Neodiprion lecontei: one gene and its partner. Each later gene encodes a partner of the first gene's protein in a complex. Links are inferred from orthologs where the notes say so. Each region holds a gene or a part of one and is shown in the gene's direction. Other genes may lie near its edges.

Region 1 (10,331 bases):
TCCTTGCTTTCTAAACTCATTCATCAACTCTCGTCGTTGGCGACGCATCGCGGATTGTATTTCGGTGCTTCTTATAAACGTAATTTACCCTCCGTATCTTCACGACAACATTTGTCGTTCGTCGGAAGGTCCTTGTGACTATATAATAGGCGTCATTAAATAGCGGAATTCTACTATCTTTTCATCTCTGTGCGTAACAATCAGATAGTGGAGATTTAGAATTAATTATCCTTGTAATAATGATCTGATAGTGGAAGGTTACTATCTAGTTCAGTGAGTCCGCATGTAATCATCCGACAGTGGAGATTTACAATTAATTATCCTTGTAATAACGAGTCAATCAATATCCAAGCCATACCTGTACCCTTACCAATCCTTTAATTAGAATTGTAGGAGGTCACGTTGTGCAAGACGCAGTTTCAATAAGTGCGACTCGGACGCGTGGAGACATCTTATTACGAATAACAAGGGCTTAATTGAACGGTCAACTCAGCGAATCAGATCTACTCGTACATATTGGGGTGGCGCATCGCGAATCGTATTTTGGTCTTGCTGCCTGATAAAATCGTTCGAATTCAGCTTTAACCTTTGAATTTGAATTCAATTTGAATTAGTGAACTCTTCCCATTGGAAACGCATCGCGGATCGTACTTGGGTCTTTCTGCCTGTCCTGGGCTTTCTTACACCGGTCATCATAAAATTCTTGCTTTTTGAATTCGTTTGTCAACTCTTCTCCTTCTTGACACATAGCAGATCCTACTTTACTCTTTCTACCTGACAAGATCGTTAAACTTTCTTTTTAACCGTTGAATTGAATTGGTGAACTCTTCGCACTGGGAAAGCATCGCGGATCTTTCCCGTACTTCGGGTTTTCTCTGCCTGTCGGTGACCCTTTGATATTACGAGATATCACGCGATTATATATTAGAAATGTCAAAACGAGTGAGAAAATACAAATTCCGAACCAGCCTGAATGTATCGGAAAAACAAATACCCCACGACACCACTTTTGAAAATGATAGCTGGCTAGGGAAAATGAGGAAAAAAAAAAAATTTCATAACGGAAGAAAAAAAAAATATATATTGAATCTCAAAAACTCTACCAGCTTGAAATAAGTGACGTTCACGTCCACCAAACATCGGTAAGCAATTCATTGCATTACAATTACAGAATAACTTTCAAGGAGTTGGTTTTTGATAAATATAGATATACGTTTGATTTCGGCATGGCTTACTAAATTTCAGAGAATTTTAATACTGCAATGTAATGATTTTTCCTCAATATGTATCTTTGCAGTAACGTTAATAACTTCAGCTACATAAAACTCTTTCATATTTCACGATACCATAACGATCACGGTTTATCCTAATGTCGTCATCTGCGAAATACGTCCCCTCGTCCCAAATTATTTTATTCCTAACATTCAATTAAATGTAATAATATTATTCTCAAGTATCAATTTGATTTTCTTACTCCATTTAGACGATGAAAATAAGAATAATTTAAAAATATGAAGTTACTTGAACTTGGTCCGACGACTACACCTGGGCAAGGTTTTCTGCAGTTTTCTCTTGTCCCTCGTGCAAATGCGCATGGTTGTATTGAACATCTCAAGACGGCTGCAGCCGCAATTCTAAATCATGAAAATAACGAATAATCGCAGTTTGTCTCGGAATGACTTTCAAACGGAAGCTCAAATCGTAAAATATTAGTTTTTTTCCACAACCCTGTATCTGATTATGAGTGAATAACCGTGGCTTACCACGAATGCGGTATATAATTATTCAAACTATAAGTACCGTACCGTTACTTGTGTGAGAGGAATTTTCACGAGAAAAAAAAAAAAAAAAAAAAAAAAAACGTCAGATTTTGTATAACTTGTATGTGCGGTATGTAATAAAGAACATTTCAGTTAAAATGAAAACGTATAATTTCACAAAATCAACTGATCGATGCTGACCCAGTATCTGCAGTTCTGTTCATTGAAAATAAGTTCAGAGGTACGACAAATTTGATATGTTCACCTGATAACTCGATTGGAGAGGTAAACTGATCACTTATGGAGACGCGAGTAACAAGATAGAGGGACGGAGAGTTTCCATTTGTTGATATGGATAAAAGATGCTTCAGTTCTAGGGAAATCATCTAACGAAGAAGCAGCAAGTTTCATTCTTAAACGTCTTACTTGTAGAATTCCACTTAACGCTTTGACGTAAAAATTCCGAGTTTCAAGACTGTTTGTGGTAAATCCAAATCTGGTGGGAGCCAAGTGTAAAAATAGAATTTTGGAAGGAGCGCTGATTGAGATCTATGAAGCTTAGTTGAAGTTTAAAAACAATTTATGAAAAAAAAAAAACGTACATTTTTCGCTATAGACCATCATTATTCCTTGACTTTTACCGGCAGGCAAAATTTCCTGATTATTCCCGATTTTCCCGATCGGTAGTTTTAACATTAAAACATTTATAATCAATAAATCACCAAGTGTTATTTCACCTTCGAAATCCACATTTACTTCAATTACTTCAATCAAGAATCCTCTATTCCGGTTGTTCTTGAACGCAAAAAAGGATGTCGAACACCTTACAGCTCGGGAATAAACTACCCTCAAGTTGTTGCGACAGGAAGGAAAATCGTTCAATTTTTCTACAATTATCTGCTCAAGATAGAATATTTAACATCATGAGTTTTGCTGAACATTAAACGTACCAAACGATAATATTTTAAATTGCAACAATTTTATAAAAACTGTAAACAATTAATGTAATAGAAAACTTCTTCCTCTAATCTCTAATCTTCAAATCAAGGCTTGCCCTGCTAAATATTATTGTTGAATACTTTTTCAACAACGAGTACGTCACAGAATTCGGTACCAGTAACCTTGACTGGAAAAAAAAAAAATTGTACCAAATCTGTCTGGCCCGATGTTGTTGTTGGTTTTTTTTTTCTTTTCTTTTTTTTCTTTCTTTTTCACTTTTTCTTATTTTTCTTTCTCTGGGCAACGGTAAGTTAGTGATAACAAATATTCTCGCAATAATAGTTCATGAAAATGACCCTTGACATTTGAAGAACTGATTTGTCTTAAAGCCTAAGGAAAAATAATTATTCACAGGTTGATGGGTCACGTTTTAATCGCGTTACAAATAAATAGAATTAGTTGATTACCTTGATTATACAGTTATATACTCTAGTTCACTCAATGAACATGAGGTTAAATTTAATTCTTTGTAATGAGAAAATTAAGAAATGCAAATTGAAAACTTTTGACCAGAAAATGCGAATTTCTGAACACGCAAGTACCTAATCTATTTAGGCCGTTTACTCAGAGAAGATTGTGTAAAATCTGATCCAAAGAAGATAGTAACAGTTAAAGACTTCCCAAGACAACAAAACGCAAAGAATATAAAATAATTTCTAGAATTTATTGGCAATTACAGACGCTTTGTACCAAATTTTTCCAAAATAGTAAAACCTTTAGACAGGATTTTTCACGTAATCGCGGGATAAATTGTGAGAAAATGCAATACTTCAATATCTTTCTTTCACCATACCTTTTATACTAACGACGGATGCATCAAGATTCGTCATATAAGGAGGCGTATTAAGTCAGGGTCCAGTAGGAAAAGATTTGCCGGTAGAATACAAAATATGTAACCAGATTACAAGATCAACGAAAGAGAAGTTACTAAACAGTTGAAAACGAATTACTGGCAATAGCTTATGCGGTAAATTTGAAAGTAATTGCTTGGGCTTAGGCTTATAAAATAAAATTGGGATATTCTGCAAAGAAAGTAGAATATAATATTGAAAGTGATCTGTAGAATGAAATTTAAATTATACAACTACCCTGTGAACTTGACTCACAATCAATCAATTAAATAACTTGGAATTACCGTTTTACTGTTATTTAGATCTTAAACAGCTATAAAAAAAAATTTACTTGCAGAATCAGAAACAAAAGTAAGTATTGGCACGTGATAAAAGCGACCTGGAGAAGCACCTGTAACCCAAATACATGCAAACTCACCAATGCTGCCAAGTAATGGAGTAGTCATTCGGATGTCTTCGCTTAACTCTGTAACAAATAAAGATACAAGCTCGAATTAATTTAGCGAATTTTTATATTGTGGATGTTTGATGCTGATATTCATCATTATTATTGTCCGCTTCCATGCTCATTCACTTTACGTCACGGAAGGATAAAAATTCAGCTCCAAATTTACCACCTTGATTCATCAACCATTATTTGAATAAGTATTATTCTCACCTTTTCTGACTTGGTCCGCACTTCAGATACGAAATAATCCTGGTGGCATTTACGGTTTAACGATGAAGCTCCACACTTTAGATGAAAAAGTTCTCGTAGCATTTGCTGTTGAACGATGAAGCGACGTACTTTCGACACTGGAATGAGAGTATAAAAGAATATTACTCAAAACAATATACTTGAATCAGATTTCACGTCACTTTATAGACTATCTGTGTTGATTTAAATTTTTTTTAAATAACATTTAAATAGTTTCAGATGTAGTAATAAATAAACTACAGAAACTATTGATAGAAGGCGAATAGAATAAACAAAAATAATAAAGAAATGCATAAATCTGGTAGGCAACATTTCATATCAGTCAAGCATGACGGCTATAATCATTTGCAATGAAAAATGAAATTGTAATTCAAAATCAAGTATGATTTCAAACGAATGTACCTGTTTTTTTTTTTTTGTTCTTGCAATAACGTTGTGACCTATGCAGCTTCTGTACTTTGTTTTCCAAGATTTTTTGCTAGGTTCACCCAACTGAGATATTCACCAGCCCCGAACGATCGACCTGCAGTTTAATGCTGCAGTCGGGTAAAAAAACAAATCACTATGTTAATATTTCGTGTTCATCGACATCCCAATACTCAGGGTTGATAATTGATTTTATAAGTCTTGATAAATAAATTAAACCATCTTTCAAATTTCAAATAATAAAACTTAATCAAGTACGAAAGGTTTTCGGTAGCTATCAACTTGCGAGAGAAATATTCGAATACGATAGTGATAGTTTACAACATCTAACATAATCAAGAGATAATTAAACAAATTGAATTGCGATAGCTAATTTACGAAGTAATTGTTGATGAGAAATTAAACATAGTTAAATTAAGATGCTTGAAATTCAAGATATAATTAATAGAACAAATTTTATAGAGAGTTTACGAGAGAAGGGCAGCGAAGATACTAGAAAGTATGCGGAGTAAGCCTTGCTCACAACAGAATTGAAGACAACAAAGCGAGATTTGAATTTACAAAAACACAGTATAACAATGACATAAGAAACTTATTTTAATCGCTTGCAGGACAACTGAAAGGTACGGCGACCTCAACTAAACTCATAACTCGAAGAAGGTCGATTTAATATTACAATGTCATAAATAGAAAATAAAATAACCACAACCGGTGCTTTTAGAAGAACCGGCTAAAGCCACAGCGCGATGTAAACAGCGGTCACCTCTACGATGAAAAAGTTGATCATGTTATGTGGCGTGCAAAATCCGTTGTTTACATCGGAATATACGGGCATATACCGGCATCGAACATTCTAGATGTTTTTCATCCACGTCTAATACATGTATAATCCACGTAAGAAATGACTTTTGTTAAATCAGTGACCACGTTATTTCGAAAATCATTGCAATATGTATTGAGAAAATTATATATTGAAATTAGTAACGTTATGTCGTAACGATTCATGGTGAGGAAAATCCGTTATTTCGCGATTTTTGAATTGTCTGAAAATCGATGAACCGTAATAAAACAAAACCCACTTATATTTCGAATTCTTAGTTCCTTAAAAATCATTGTAAAATTAAGAAAATTGTGATTTTTTTCAGCAATGTTTCGTTAGAATAACGTTACAACTTCAACCTCGTTCGAAAAAGCAGTACTTGAACGAAGTAAACGGTTTTTCCGATGCCTTTTTGTTTCTTTTATTATCAATGAATATAGAGCGTTTTTGTTCGTTGAAAATCGATACTTTTACTTTGGACTGCAGCTGTTTTATGAAAAATCAATATTTCATTACTTCCTCCGTTCAAGCACTACACAATTTTATGCAAAAACTGCTAGTTTGACATTTTTACGTTGAACGATTTGTTTCCGGGCAGCATGCGATCATCGCAAAAGACGTTTTCCAAACAATAATCCGCACAAACTATTATATCTAACACATTTATAAATATCTTTCATCGGAAAGAAAAAATTGTAAAAGGTACCCAAAACCGTACTCGTTCATGTAAGAAGTAAAAATTTTAGCTGCGAGGTCGCTCGGAAATTCAAAAGCATCACAGGACGCAACCAAAGAAAATACGGTACAGAAGATACGAGAGAAAGATATGAGCAGCTTTGCAACTTTAGCATACAGTAAAAAACCAAAAGCCTTACCTTAGCCGATGATTCGAGCACTCACTGATTCGAATGTGAAATAAACTTGTCAGTAGCAAAAGAAAACGGTAGAAAAGGTAAGAGGACGAAAAGGAAACGAAGGTAAAACGATAGAGCAAAAGGTAAAAGTTACGGTAAAATCGATAGTGAAGAAGGTAACAAAAGGAAAAGGTAGGAAGAATTAAGCAGGAGGGAATTTTCTAGATCAACGAGTTGCACGGAATTAACGCAACGTGTTGACTCTGGGCTTGTCGAACGAAGATTAAGAAGAATACGAACCACGAGGAGGGCCGAAATTCGTTCCGCCGATCTCGCCGCTGTCATCCGATTGCATCCGATGATCCTTCTTCCTCCTGATTGGTTGTTGTTTCCCGTCGTGAATATCCGATCATCCCCCTCGACGCGCGAATCAATTACGAATACACGTGTTACGAAAATTTCCGCTAGATGTGGCGCGATGTTTGTCCTTTAACGTCGTCATATTGCTCATTTTTCGCACACAGCCTTTCTGTATGCAGCCGCTACTCCCGACTGGCCGGCTGGTTGCCTGTCATTAGGAACTTTTGACGAAATTATGCAGATGATATCTATGACCACAGGATTCTGACTGGAGAATGACAGCATTGAAGGGGTATTCCGATGTGGACATTTTTTATTTTCCATATTTTTTTCCACTAAATGCTATCCAACCGGTCATGTTAACTTTTTAACACGTTACTATAAACACCTACACTCCTGTTCCTGATAGATATACGTATTTTGGTCATCGCCCAGCCGATCAATGCTCAATTTTATACGTTGAAATTTGAAATCTTCGTGATTGTTTCACACTGTGCATTTCGAAAGTTAATAACGTTGCGGTACATCGCGACTTTCCTACCATCGTTTGATTCCCGACGAATCAACCAACGACATTGTTGAAAAGAGATACCCATACGCACATGCTCGAATCCTGCGGCTGATCCCGAGACGCCCACCTATATTCTTCGTCATCTATATTCGGTCTAAGCGATCTAATCCGAACACATTCTACTAGCACTTACGATATCTTATTTTATTTTGATGAACGACCCGTGGATTATAGTTCATTTTCTGCCAGCTGAATTCAATTTGGATTCGTTCAGAAGGTGATAAAAAAAATTGTTTTGGGTATGGCAATGATGAGGGTTGTTATGATTATTAATACGGTCGATAAAGAATTACCATACAAAACCGGTGGATTAATAGTTCCCGCCGATAAAGCAGCTACCGGATCGTTAACACGGCTTCTAGCGACCCCAGTCGCCCAGGTCCACTTACCCGCCAAGTACTGGTCACGAAAATCTGCAGAGGAGTCAGTCTTTGAGTTTTACTGTCAACGGTTAATTTCACACACCGCCATGCGAAACAACGTCGATGGTTAAACGTCACTATTTGAGGTTACGTCGTGTTCTCAATTCGCAGCGCTATGAGTATACCACGTACCCATGAGTCAGGGAAGAATATTAACTGACTAATAAAATCAGCGTCACTTGACAGCCACAGAAGTATTTAACACGTTGAACTATTAGTGTTATTGGTCACGTCGAAAAAATCATAGAAATTGACGCATGTTCCTTTCTAACCTACTAAAACAATGACGTAGTTTCAGAATGGTACTAATAACCTTCCAATAACCTGTTGTGCTCTGTATTACATGAAGTACGCAAAGCATAATGAAGTTTATGCCAGAATTGTTTACACAATCTTCAGCTCGGCTTGGCACACTGTCAGAATTAGAGAGAACACCTGATGTGGTATTGGAAACACCACTATTAATGCTTTACACAAAGGTTTCCTCTTTCTTTAAATTTACTTGTCAAATTTATCTCTATTATAATCTTTCAGTCAAATTTCAATGTAAGCGAAGACTATACTCATTATTAAAATTTATTTTTTATACAACAATATTTACAAATAATTTCAGCGTGGTAGCGTTCCACATATTACCAAAGAGGTACTAGAAATGATTACGCCAGAAAAACTGTTACTAACAATGTCACTGCCTACCACATTCGACATGACCGATCCAGTCCGACAATTTAAATCAATTGCAGATTTTGTGGGATTGAAGGTAAAGTTTAAATTATAACATAAATTAAAGGCTAAGATTTCAAAAGATGCGTTGTGTATATGCTCCTTCGTAATGATATTATTATTCAGGAATATCCTGTATTTCTTACAATGGAAGATCCGGCACAACCCACTGTTTCTGGCTACAATGACGAAGACACTATTGCAGTGTGGACCAGACATGGAAAGCAGATAATTAACGCAGATGGTTATATGGATATAGTCGAGGCATTTAGGCCAGACTTTTATCTGGCACTATACGACAGCGATACCCACTCTGGTAGCAGTTCCAAGAGAATCACAAAATCTGTAGACCGCAGTATAAAAATGCTTGATAAGTGTTTAACCAGGCATAAGGCGTCTGAAGTCGTAAGAAATAAAGGCATTTTTGGCGCCGTTGGCGGCGGATACAACACAACGGCTAGAGAAATGAGCATAAAAAATTTAGAAGGCAAAGATTTGGCTGGATATGTTATTGACGGGTTACACAATAACGGGCCAGAAACTGAAAAGATCCCTTTCCAGTTTGTGGAAGATATCGTCAAACACACGATTGTTGGTACATCATCAAAAAAATGCACTACTCAGCTTCTTGAATATTCTATTTTCCAACCTGATCGCATTATTTCTTTCAGAGCTTATTACCACAGGACAAAATGCGTGTCACGATGGGTGCCTGGAACCCCGTAACTGTAATAAATCTTATCAAACTAGGAGTGGATTTATTCGATTCTTCTTATCCCTATCTCGTCACCGAACGATCATGTGCACTCACATTTTTATACCATCATTCTGAAACCGGCGAATCGCCTATGATATCGATATCAGAAAAACGGTAATTTACATTCTCTGTGCATCTATATTTTGAATTGAACAAAACAGTATCTGATTTACTTTTTAATTGTTCAAGGTATGCGGATGATTTCACACCTATTTGCAAAGATTGCAAGTGTTTGACATGTTTGAATCATACGAGAGCGTATCTGCATCACTTGTATCAGACCAAAGAACTCTTGGGCGCAGTTCTCTTAATGATGTAAGTAAAATGAAGAGCATTTTTCTTAGCAATATTTTGAGGGCAATTTATACTTCTACCGAACTTTTTCAAATTTCAGACATAACATACACCATTACCTAGAATATTTCAAGGAGATACGAAACAGTTTACGGAACGGCACTTTTCGGGAACTAGAAACCAAAATTTATGTGATATTTGCTAAAAATGATTCAGCAAACTAAAATTTGTGTATAGTATCAATAAAACCATTTTTTCTAACACTTGGTCGTTTTCTGATTTGATAACATCTCCCAATACGCGAAATTATTCAATGATTGTGCATTAAAACGAAGCAAGTTGTTTTGCACTTATACTTCGTGCTGATTTAAAAATATAAAATAGAATTATTCAGGCAGAAAATTAGGATCTAGGTAATTGTACGATGAATTACTGAAGTTTTGTGGAAAATAATCCGTGTCGTAGCTTCTATTTGACTGAGATGGTCGAACAGCACATAATTTGTGTAACGGGGAATGCATTGGCGTTTCAGACTCCAATTGTGCGACAGCACAATCTCCACAGAGATTCGTTTTACCTTGACAATCTTCGCAATGCCATCGGGTTCCCTTCAGAGGCTCTTCTTCGCACAATGAACACTGCAAAGAATGACATTAAATTCATTAGCAAGAATGAAGTGCATAATCGTGATTTTCATTATTTGGACGCGAAATTAATGTTAAGTGACTTACTTTGTATCCAACATGCTGATAAGCCTGCAACTGTTCATCTTCTTTTTCTGCTTTGACTTGTCGAAG
Region 2 (10,676 bases), on another chromosome or scaffold:
ATTTCAGCTGTCCCGAGCGAGGTCTATCTTCAACGCTGAAATCACCACTTTTGAAGCGCCAAAACCATTCTCTACGTGACTTGTCAGTTGGAGCATTGTCACCGTAAACTTTCACAAGCATACGATGAGCTTTAGCTGAACTTTTTTTCCAATTAAAACAAAAAATTAAAACTTCCCACAAATGGTGTTCAGTTATCAAAAAAAGTGACATTTTCAACAGCGTAACAAAAAACGTTTTATATGAAACTCACAACAATACAAACTGGATGTTATCGGCAGGTGTCCAATTTGTCTAAAACCAGGGCAATCAGCTGTTACTACTTAAAAATTGAATGTTTTTAGAGCCACGTTTATAGATCCATCTTTTGAGAACGGACCGAATTAATTTGTGCCCCCAATACATAAATTGTGTGTTGAAAATTACGGTATGCAAAGATGACCAACTATCGGCGCATCTACCCTACTGAAAAAAACGAAAATAATTGTTAACGTTCTTCAGCAATGCAAATACGTTACATGTGTCCGGCATTCCTTTAAGTAAAATTTAAAGTATCACAGAAACCTTGAAAATAATTAATCCAAGGTGGTGTTTCGAGTTGCAACTTGGAGTAACACAGCTTGAGTATTTGTTTGTGAAATAATTGGTTCAACAATTTGTAAACCAGCGAAAGTGGATTACATTTTAATGAATTGGAGTTTCTTTTGTCGTTCTATGGCCAATAGTTTTTTTAAAATCGTATTACCCGATACTTGGTCTGTGATGACAAATCAATTGTTCTGTACAATCATTTTTCATCATGGGATTAAATTCCTAACTTAACGAAGCATTTAAAAGAAAAACTATTATTTCATAACCTGAGCATTTCCCAGGAATTCATAAGCCGCATTGAAGCAAAACTTTTTCATATTTTGGAAACTTAATTCCTTTAGAAGTTATTTTGAAATAGTAAAATATTAACTTTTGTCTCAATGTTTCATCACGATAACATGACTAACTTCGACCTCGTGCCCTTATGCTATTATAATAATTTTGAAATTTGTATTTAGTAGAGCAGTTGTATAATGCAGGTTATGAAAAAAAAATCTCGATATTAGTAGGACTAATAATTGGTAGATACAAGATACGGAATACAGTCGATTCAAACAGCATGGTAAAAACTCATTTCGTTAGAAATTTATTAGTGGTCAAAATATTGTATTTTTAGAAAAAGTTTGTAGGATCAGTAATGCATCCCCTTTACTATGTACATAAGGTTACGTATTTCCACAGTTATCAAACTGCAGATCTTCACAAAAGCTGACCATAACTTGCATATGAGACCGAAATTTGTAACATTTGGATAACCAAATAATGTCGAAAGAAAAATTACCATTCTATAGCTTCGGTATATCTTTGAAGGACTTGAATGGGCAAAACATGAGTGAATTGATGCTCCATTACAGTTTACCGGATTTCAGACCATCCTCAAATTGCGAAATAGCAATTATCAAAATCGCATGGTCACATTGACGTTACGAGTTTCAATCTCACATAATCCGATGGTATCGCAGTGGTCTCTAAGCTAGTATGGGGCGAGTTATAACAGGTGACACCGGTGACATTAATCGTGACAAAGAATGCAATGGATATGTGACGATATCGAGATTGACAATAATAAGGTTTTAGGATATCTATAGATCTTCGTCAAGCCAATAATTTTAAAATGGATTATTTGTCGAGGGAATACGACTTGACATTGAAAAATGCACGTTAAATTAGAAAGACTTACATGCAGGTTCATCCATGCTGATGTAAGAGCGAAACAAACGAACAATCCAAACGTCATAAAGCTAACACTAACACTCCACAACGGAACACTCTGCGTTCTATGGAGCGAATAAGAAGATCATAAAATCATAATCTACACCACAGATCAGGAGGGAAGCAGAAAATATGATTTATAAAACACGTGGCTGCTAAGAGCCGAGCAACTGCACCGACGTGTAAACAAAATTTCACAACCTACTACAGTAAAATTAGCGGGAAAATTGCCGCAAGGTGCCAACCACTGAAAAAGATGGTAAGAATACTACCAACACTCATTACACTGTTAAGATGGAAAAAGAAAGATCTGCCTCCTGACGGGTCAAGTTAAAACTAATAAGAGAAGCAGGTAGAAAACAGGTCAATATTATACCTATACTTAGGCCGTCATTGACACCCAAATAAATTGATTTCTTTTTAATTCTTTGTTGGTCGTTTGTTGATGTTTGATGATGTATTCCCATGTCTGATAGTCAATGGTTTAGTCGTTATTACTAAAACAAATTTAGCTAGAGAATTCAAGTCGTTGACGGAGGACCTTATAAAGGTTTCTCTCTGGTTAGAACATGTATGGGTGCCTTCCATTTACTGACTCAAATCGACTTGTGTCGCTATTTCTGGTGTAACCGGCCAATCTGGGCAAAGGAATACACCAGAAATAGCGACACAAGTCGACTTGAGTCAGTAAATGGAAAGCACCCAACGTATATGGGTGCTATTTCATGAGCAGTAAAAGGCAGCAGCAGCAGCAGTTTTCCCCTATCACTTCCGGCGCAAGTTTCTGCTGCTCGCAGTTTAGTTTTTCGAGCGACAAGCCACAAGATCACAAGAACAGTCGACCTATTTCATGAGCAGCGCTGCTGCTGCGTAAAATTACCAGACTGATGCTAGTGAAAACTACTAAGTTACTAAACCACTGCTGCTTTTTACTGCTCATGAAGGCCGTGTTCGTAAATTGACTGCCAGTACTAAAAATTCCCTAGGACAGAGACAGAGCTGTTCATGAACTCGGCAGCGCAAAATAGGTGAAAGATGGCTGACAGTACTGTCAGTCAATTTTCGAACACGGCCGAAATAGCACCCTATGGCCGTGTTCGTAAATTGACTGACAGTACTGAAAATTCCCTAGGACAGAATCAGAGCTATTCACGAACTTGGAAGGGCAAAAGAGATAAAAGATTGCCGACAGTACTGTCAGTCAATTTTCGAACACGGCCTATATGTACAGGATCAAGGTCCCTAGATTAGACAGGTCAAGACACGCATGGTCAAAATAATTAGTGAGAATGCGCCAAAAGTTTCGTATGACAATAGATGGTTTCCATTTAGAGCACAATATGACACGGTGTAAACATTTCTGGTCTATTTCTTTGCCCGGGTTGGCCGCTTACAATAGAAATTTGTACACTGTGTCACACTGTGCTCTAAATGGAAAGCACCCGGTGTGGTTCTGATTCCTGACCTGTCACAATGATTAACCTCAAAATATATACGTGCTTCTATTTATTTCGTGAACGTCAGGACACGAAGGGCGCAACTCGTTAATGCTGAACCTCAAAAAATTGAGCAAGATTGGTCAAAACTGGTTAATGCGGTAATGTAAATTTGATATTTTTTGGGCGAACGCGCATAGAACATTTTTGCCCACGTTATAGTGAGAAAAACTGGAACACACGTGTCTTGACCTGTCTAATCTAGGGACCTTGTACAGGATAAGCCAGCAGTGCTGCCAGTGCTGCCGCGTAAGAGAATCTTGCAACAGCCAATCATTGCTCAGCTTACCAGAGAAATTCAGAAAGCATCATAACAATACGATTCTTCGGTTCTTCCCAACAATGCATCGAGAGGATGCGTAAAACATCCTAAGCATCATAAGCATCATCTAGCGAGCCCAATGAAAAATCAAATTTTAATTAACTGTGTGAAAAATGTCAGCAATTCTGAAGGAAAAATCCGGATGTATAACCGAAGAGCAAAAAACTGCTAAATCGGTAGCGTCTGAAAGTGAGAATAAACATATTGCTTGAATTAATTCAAGACCTAGTGCAATACCTCTCGCAATATTTATATCTACTTCATTATTTTGTTAGTTACCCGTGTTCATTTCCGGGTATATTAGAGAAAATAATTCTTTTACTGGTCATTTTTCATATTTTCTGCTAAATTATTTCGTGCTGCTGGTTGCGCAAACGACGCGCAAACGATTGGCACCACAATGTATCTGAAATTCTATTAGTCTTTCGCATGATATCATTTTCAAAATCCGGGTGCTGAAATTCAGCATCCTAACTTTACTTAAATTTTTCCCAAAAACGAATGACCGCCCAAACGAGAGCGAGTGATATTCCTCATATTCAAGGCACGCGCAAACGATCTAAACTACTTTCAGTTGATTATCTTGACTTCGGTTGCTAACTTTACGAACCTCCTGTGCACAGTATTACGCCATGGACCGCAAACAGCCATGCCGAGTCCCTTTGACTTTTAAAATTGCAGAAACATGTTCAACTTCGAAAGCTCGAACTGGATTAATGATTCTACCGCATCACGATGTTGACACTCCGGTATTTATGCCGGTTGGCACTCAGGTAGAGGCTACAAAAGTCACGCCATGTACTGGTACAATACAAGTAGTTAGGTTAGCTAGTTTTTGACAGATACACAATTCTGACAGATTTGGTTAAGGAGGTTCGTATCTTGAAGAACTATATTACGGGATGATCGTACGTTGTGTATTCGTGAAATTATTATATTAGCAGGCTGTAGAGATCCCTCGTTAAAAATACACAAAGAAAAAATACTGGAATTAATATAAATGAAAGCTCAGATCTCGATGCTTCATTTCAAACTGCTTCAAAGTCGTTAAAAATCTAGTGTATTTGTTCGATTTCACTTCACGATGTTGCATGTTATTAAGAACACTTTCTCCGATTTACTGTGACACTTTTTGCATTGATTTTACATTGAAAGCATCGATATTGATTATTGACTTGTCGTGTTAGCTACACTTTCTACACTTTTGAAATATACAGTGATAGTATCCTCACACGAAAATATAAAAAGTCTAGAAAATTCGTTATTAAAAACTCGTGTAATAGGCCGCAGTATGCTATGTAAAAACCATGCTTCGTGTTGGTAACCCATTCTTTCCAAGCAATATACGTCCATGCGACTTTGCCTGAAAAGTATGAATGCGAAATATGTCAATAAAATGACATACATAAAAAGTATAGAAAATGTAGGTAACACGAACACACCCTATGATCAACAAATGCCAATATTGAATTAATTACTGAGAAGAAGTAAATTTGTTTCAGAGGCTTTATAGTAAAAATCTGGCAATGTAGTATGAAATTAAATAGTTGTTCTACGTTTTTTAACTATTTTATGAAGAGATTTGAAACGAGGCATGGATATTTAAGCTTTTATGCATAATTCTGGTATTTACTATGTTTGTATTTTTGACAATATCTCTATAGTTTCCATTTAATATAATTTAATAAACACGTAGTGTACGAGCATTTCATAATAAATCTAATAAAAAGTTTTGATTTTTTGCCAACCGATCTCAAACTATTGAAGCATTTTGGATCTCATAGCTACATTAATAATATCATGATTGCATATGTAACACAAAATGTTTAACGTTTCTTGTTTGTATCATTATTACTAATCAGCATATCGCAAACTAAAAGGACATTTCAGTTCCTCAAATGTTTAGAAATAACATTCCATCATTAGCTAATTTGATCGGGCGTAACGAACCTATGAAACATGTAGAAAACAAGATTGTGCCCTTGAAATATAAATGCATAGTTTACAATATTTTTAGCAATCTTTTTTACAGGGAACCCTGAAGGGGCTGCTGCCTCAGCAGTTGGAAAAATTGGACTGTCAAATAATTCTCGGAAATACGTATCACCTCGGAACAAGACCAGTTAGTTGAACTTTGTCCAAGAATTTTCTTCAATCATTTCTACATGATTTGAAATGATAATTTCGTGATTTATGATTCCATTAATTCTGGTCACCTGTTAATTACATATTTAAATGTTTAAGGGTACAACTATTTTGCAAATGGCAGGTGGCTTGCACCAATTTATGAATTGGAAAAGAGCTCTTCTCACTGATTCAGGTGGATTTCAAATGGTCTCTTTACTTCAACTCGCACATATCACTGAAGAGGGTGTAACGTTCCGTTCTCCCTATGACGGTAATATATACCTAATCATCGCTAAAATCTGTTGCCGATTTAAGTTGATCAATTATCACACCAATCAGTTGTCCAGTAGTTAAATTTTTAGATTATCAATGTTGTGTCAAGCTCTAAAATACGACATAATCAGGAGAAATTGGAAGATTCTTAAGGTAACAGTAAAGTTCTGAAAAATTTTGCTAAAGGCTATCTCCACCAAAAAATGTCCGATCAGCCACAGCTGTAGCTTTTTCTTAAATTTAAAACAGCTATTTCTGCCAAATATTAATCCCAGCATGAAAATATTCTAAAAATAATCAAAATTTGTGCATTTGTTATTATCATTCCTGTTTATGCCAATGTAGTAGCCAATGTAGAACCAACCGTAGTAGCGTAGCATGCGAGACTGTGAAACTGGCGGAGCTGAGTTCAAATCCCTGGCATGTCGAGGAGGATCTGAGCGGCAGCTCACAAAAAATGTGACATATGTCGCGTCGTTCAGGTGCCAAATCGGTAAGCTGAGGTTTGAACTCAGTCTGGCTATACCCAGGTGAGGTTTTCTGCAGTTTTCTTTGTCCCTTGTGCGAATGCAGGTGTTCCTATTAAACATCTTAAGACAGCTGCGGACGCATAATGATTGTCACTAGTCCATCCTTACTACACCCCACAAAAGCTATTCATTTATGAAGACATATCCGAAAGAGCATGGCGAGACTGGAATGATAATTATTATTGTTATCATTATGCAACTAATTTGCATGAAAAAATGACGTAGCATTTATTGGATCAGAATAAAATGAGAATAATATTCTTTAAAATTTCACAAGCTAATAATAAGCACTAAAACAAATATTAGTATTGAATTCTTAAATGTTACGTTCTTGCAGTATGCTTGCTCGCTTCCACTTTTGAAACTTTCTCAAATTTTACTCTCTGAATTCGGTAATATACTGAAGTTAACAGAAACGTTCACATATAAGTAGTAAATGCGGAGTTAATCCTCTGATTATTAACATGTTTTTACTTTGTCCTGGTTTTTCTGACCAAGTGTCATATGCAGATGTACATTGCAAATTTAATTTGAAATTGGTTTAACATTTTAGAGTGAAATCCACTTGGCCAAGTGTACTATTATCACTGATTAAAAGTATAATAAAACTCAATGAAGTTCGCGATGAAGAACTTCTCATTTTCGTTACTATAAATCACCTTTTCAAATTCCTTGCAAAGATTGAGTGTTAACCTGAACAATTTTCAATTTTCACACACGATCTAATAAATTAATGAAAAGAAAAAAAATTCTATTCTTAGCTACAAATATATCATCGCTCATTCAGAACATTTGCTTAGACAGTATATTCCCTAGAGCTGAAAGAAATTATTTTCTGTGAATCAAGTACTCCACATTTTTTAGTATTTAGAATTGGTGCGATATTCCTTAATTCTTTGTTGTGTAAGTTGTTTTCAGGATCTGAATGTGTGTTGACACCGGAACACTCAATTGAGATACAAAACACAATTGGTGCAGATATCATAATGCAGCTGGATGATGTGGTCCATGCAAAAGTAACCGGGCCTCGAGTTGAAGAGGCAATGCATAGGTAATTCACTTGAGCAAAAAAAAACTATTGTTTCCTGCTGTCCACGATAATTGGAGAAAAAATAGTTGCAGATGCTGGACTAGAATCTGTTTGAGAGATAGTAACATTAGGTGATAAGGGAATAAAGTCAAAGATTATTCCTGAGGCTGGGTGTCCTGCCTGAGCAAAGCGCAGACAATAATCACCCAAGGAAATAATCAGTTTTATTCCGGTGTTGCATACAGGATTTTATTCTCGATAACTGTGGCCACTTTATTCACTTAAAAAGTGGTCCCCATTAAACAAAAGTGCTACTTTTTTCCCGCAAATGAGCGGAAAATAAAAACTTTGTTTCTACAAATGTGGGGAATAAGAACTTTTCTTCCGCAGATGCGGGAAAAAAGTATGTCAAATTCTACTTTTGTCTCAATTTTTAGGTCAATAAAGTGCCCATCACAGTTGAGTTGGGAATAAAAATTATTCCACCATAATCCAACCGACTTTCAATACTGCCACTGAATAATAAAATTCTTTTTTCTCTCTGCACTCATTAGAACCACAAGATGGGTAGACAGGTGCCTTTTGGCTCATCAGAAATCTGATGAGCAAAATATTTTTCCTATTGTTCAAGGCGGACTGGATCCACAGCTCAGAACAGAGAGTGCTAAATTGTTGACACAGCGGCAAGTCAATGGTTTTGCCATAGGAGGTTTGAGGTGATTTTGGATATATTGCTTATTGTCGATAATTATCGACACTACTAAATAAGATATGCGATGTTTAGTAGTTGTGATGTGTAACTATTTGTCTGATCTGATGGTTATTTTCAGTGGTGGAGAAAGCAAGAATGATTTTTGGAGAATGGTACATTTGTCAACCAATGTTCTACCGGTCGATAAACCAAGGTATTTAATGGGGGTTGGATTTGCTGTTGATTTAGTCGTATGCTGCGCTTTGGGAGTGGATATGTTCGACTGTGTCTTTCCAACCAGAACAGCGGTAATTGAAATTTTTATGTTTCAAATTAGGTGAATTATTACCGCAGACGTTATTTTCATGAAAGGTTGTGGAATAAAATCACAAAAACATCTTTTTTTTTTATGAAGTAGGGCTGTGCGATTAATCGTAGACTTCCATCCATTGTTCCATCCGAAAAACAATTAATTGAAAGAACAGATCAATGGATTAGTCGTAAAAATATTAGTGGAAGAGACCAGTTATTTGATTAATTGAAAGAACAGTGAAACAAAATTCTTGATCAGTCCATTCTTTGGAAAATTAATCAATAGAACAATTAGCAACGCGATCAATCGAAAAAACAGTCGCAATGAAAAAAACCATGTTTCCACCGCTATCACGACTTTCAACCAACGTCTGAATTTGCTGGAAATGTTAAGGTGCAGCCATAACGTTATTAAAGATAAATTAAAACTTTAGCTCACAAGAATGAATAGAAATACATGTTGGTCTAACGTTTTTCTTTCTCCACACTAGCAATATCGAATGACTTAGTATCAGTGAATTCTACAGATTCAATTCAGTTAGGTGACGGTCAGAGATGAAATGATGCAATTATAGCAATCAGTTATGTTTTTTTCAAAACGACGTTTCGGCAGGACCCCACCTACCATCATCAGGTTTCTTACTGTTCAAACATAGTTGTTGAAATAAATATTAAGATAACAGTCCTATCGGTATAGGTAGGTGGGTAGTCACTTCCTTCTCGAATATCATGCAACAAACATCGCAAACGTTTAGGAATGTCGATATATGTAAGATTTGAACAATTCAGTTTTTCACATTAGTTTCAATAATAAGGTTAAACAATAAACAGTGGCATTTATGTACATTAGTAAATTTGTAAACACTAAAAATTCTCATGTAAAAATTGGGATTGATTTTACATTAAAGAAACCTGATGATGGTAGGAGGGGTCCTGCCGGAACGTCATTTTGAAAAAACATAGCTGATTGTTATAATTGCATCATTTTATCCCTGACTGTCACCCAACTAAATTGAATCTGTAGACTATCTACACGGTCACGAACATCAATCTCATCTATAAGTGAATTAGATCATACGTTAGTTTTTAGTATCGGGCCCACGTGCACGTTATCTTGTTACATCCTGTGGGTTCCCTTTGAATTGCTGCATCTATCATTTCAGCGAAACACTATGTACCACTGATCGTAGTAGCTTAGGTGCTAGCACCAGAGTCTACGGAGTGGGAAGACATGGGTTCAAGTCCCCGGCCTGCCAATAAGGCTCTGAATGGCAACTTGCAAAAATTTAAGACGGGTCGCCATTCAGGCGCTGAGTTGCTGGTTGGTGATTTGGACTCGGGTCCGGCTACACCTGGACAAAGTTTTCGGGAGTTTCCCTTATCCCTCATGCCAATGCAGGTGTTTCTATTGCGACTGTCAACCTGCTTTACTATTCTCCTTTCTTCCTTGTTTAGAAATAAAATTGTAATAAATAAAGGTTATTATTATTATTACCTGTTTGTGAATATAATAAAATAAAAAATAAAATCATTCATAAATCGCCTAATCGAAAATCGATTAAGTGAAAGAGCCAATTCATCAGCGTCTATAATTAATCGATTCATCGCAAAGCCTTAATATTAAGTATTAACAGTGCATCTATTACAACATTACAGAGATTTGGCTGTGCGCTGATACGGACAGGTCAGTTAAATTTGAGACAAAAGCAGTACAAATACGACACGGCACCAATAGACGATTCCTGTGATTGTTCAACCTGTAAGAACTATACTCGTGCCTATTTACACCAAATAGTGACACAGGAAACCGTGGCTTGTCACTTGCTGAGCGTGCATAACATCAACTTCCAATTGAGGCTGATGAGAGATATCAGGGACAGTATCAAAGAGCAGACATTTCCCCAGTTTGTTCGAAAATTTATGTTAGAGTTATACCCGGATGGAGAATATCCAACGTGGATAACAGAGGCACTGGAAGCTGTTGATATTAAATTATCGAAATGATTACTTCAATACACTAGAAAATAAATTTAATTAAAACTAAATAGACAAGGTTTGGCTTTCTTGTCGTTCCATTGGTTGAAAACAGTCATC

The links. The genes of interacting proteins can lie anywhere in the genome.
Region 2: the proteins of queuine tRNA-ribosyltransferase accessory subunit 2 (region 1) and queuine tRNA-ribosyltransferase catalytic subunit are in contact, whole or in part, in a crystal structure (PDB 7OVS), measured with the Mus musculus proteins. The link is inferred for Neodiprion lecontei from reciprocal best matches to the Homo sapiens genes QTRT2 and QTRT1. Residues at the interface, in NP_001343258.1 of Mus musculus: Arg39, Thr40, Gly41, Ser42, Ala43, Pro44, His45, Leu46, Thr47, His48, Gln49, Thr50, Asn53, Glu70, His71, Glu73, Val74, Glu77, Tyr78, Phe85, Ile86, Gly87, Phe119, Gln342, Glu343, Phe345, Tyr355, Asn359, His360, Ala363; in NP_068688.2 of Mus musculus: Thr50, Thr53, Met54, Lys55, Gly56, Ile57, Thr58, Thr59, Glu60, Gln61, Ser64, Arg80, Pro81, Leu85, Lys88, Ala89, Phe95, Met96, Asn97, Ala307, Lys308, Phe310, Pro320, Thr324, His325, Ala328, Phe329, Ala332, Leu333, His335.

Annotation. Positions count from the first base shown.
Region 1 is NC_060261.1:4,130,699-4,141,029, forward strand, and holds queuine tRNA-ribosyltransferase accessory subunit 2, read left to right. Parts: upstream 1-7,797; 5' UTR 7,798-7,954; exon of another isoform or gene 7,955-8,052; 5' UTR 8,053-8,122; coding exon 8,123-8,239; intron 8,240-8,373; coding exon 8,374-8,520; intron 8,521-8,609; coding exon 8,610-9,074; exon of another isoform or gene 9,075-9,154; coding exon 9,155-9,354; exon of another isoform or gene 9,355-9,429; coding exon 9,430-9,555; exon of another isoform or gene 9,556-9,634; coding exon 9,635-9,758; 3' UTR 9,759-9,797; downstream 9,798-10,331. Other genes in the region: ZZ-type zinc finger-containing protein 3, read right to left, coding at 9,921-10,172, 10,266-10,331. UniProt on the Homo sapiens protein: Non-catalytic subunit of the queuine tRNA-ribosyltransferase (TGT) that catalyzes the base-exchange of a guanine (G) residue with queuine (Q) at position 34 (anticodon wobble position) in tRNAs with GU(N) anticodons (tRNA-Asp, -Asn, -His and -Tyr), resulting in the hypermodified nucleoside queuosine (7-(((4,5-cis-dihydroxy-2-cyclopenten-1-yl)amino)methyl)-7-deazaguanosine).
Region 2 is NC_060264.1:15,983,870-15,994,545, reverse strand, and holds the start of queuine tRNA-ribosyltransferase catalytic subunit, read left to right. Parts: upstream 1-4,210; 5' UTR 4,211-4,251; coding exon 4,252-4,392; intron 4,393-5,651; coding exon 5,652-5,741; intron 5,742-5,863; coding exon 5,864-6,017; intron 6,018-7,467; coding exon 7,468-7,600; intron 7,601-8,133; coding exon 8,134-8,295; intron 8,296-8,409; coding exon 8,410-8,578; intron 8,579-10,238; coding exon 10,239-10,586; 3' UTR 10,587-10,676. Other genes in the region: DNA polymerase alpha catalytic subunit, read right to left, coding at 1,770-1,785.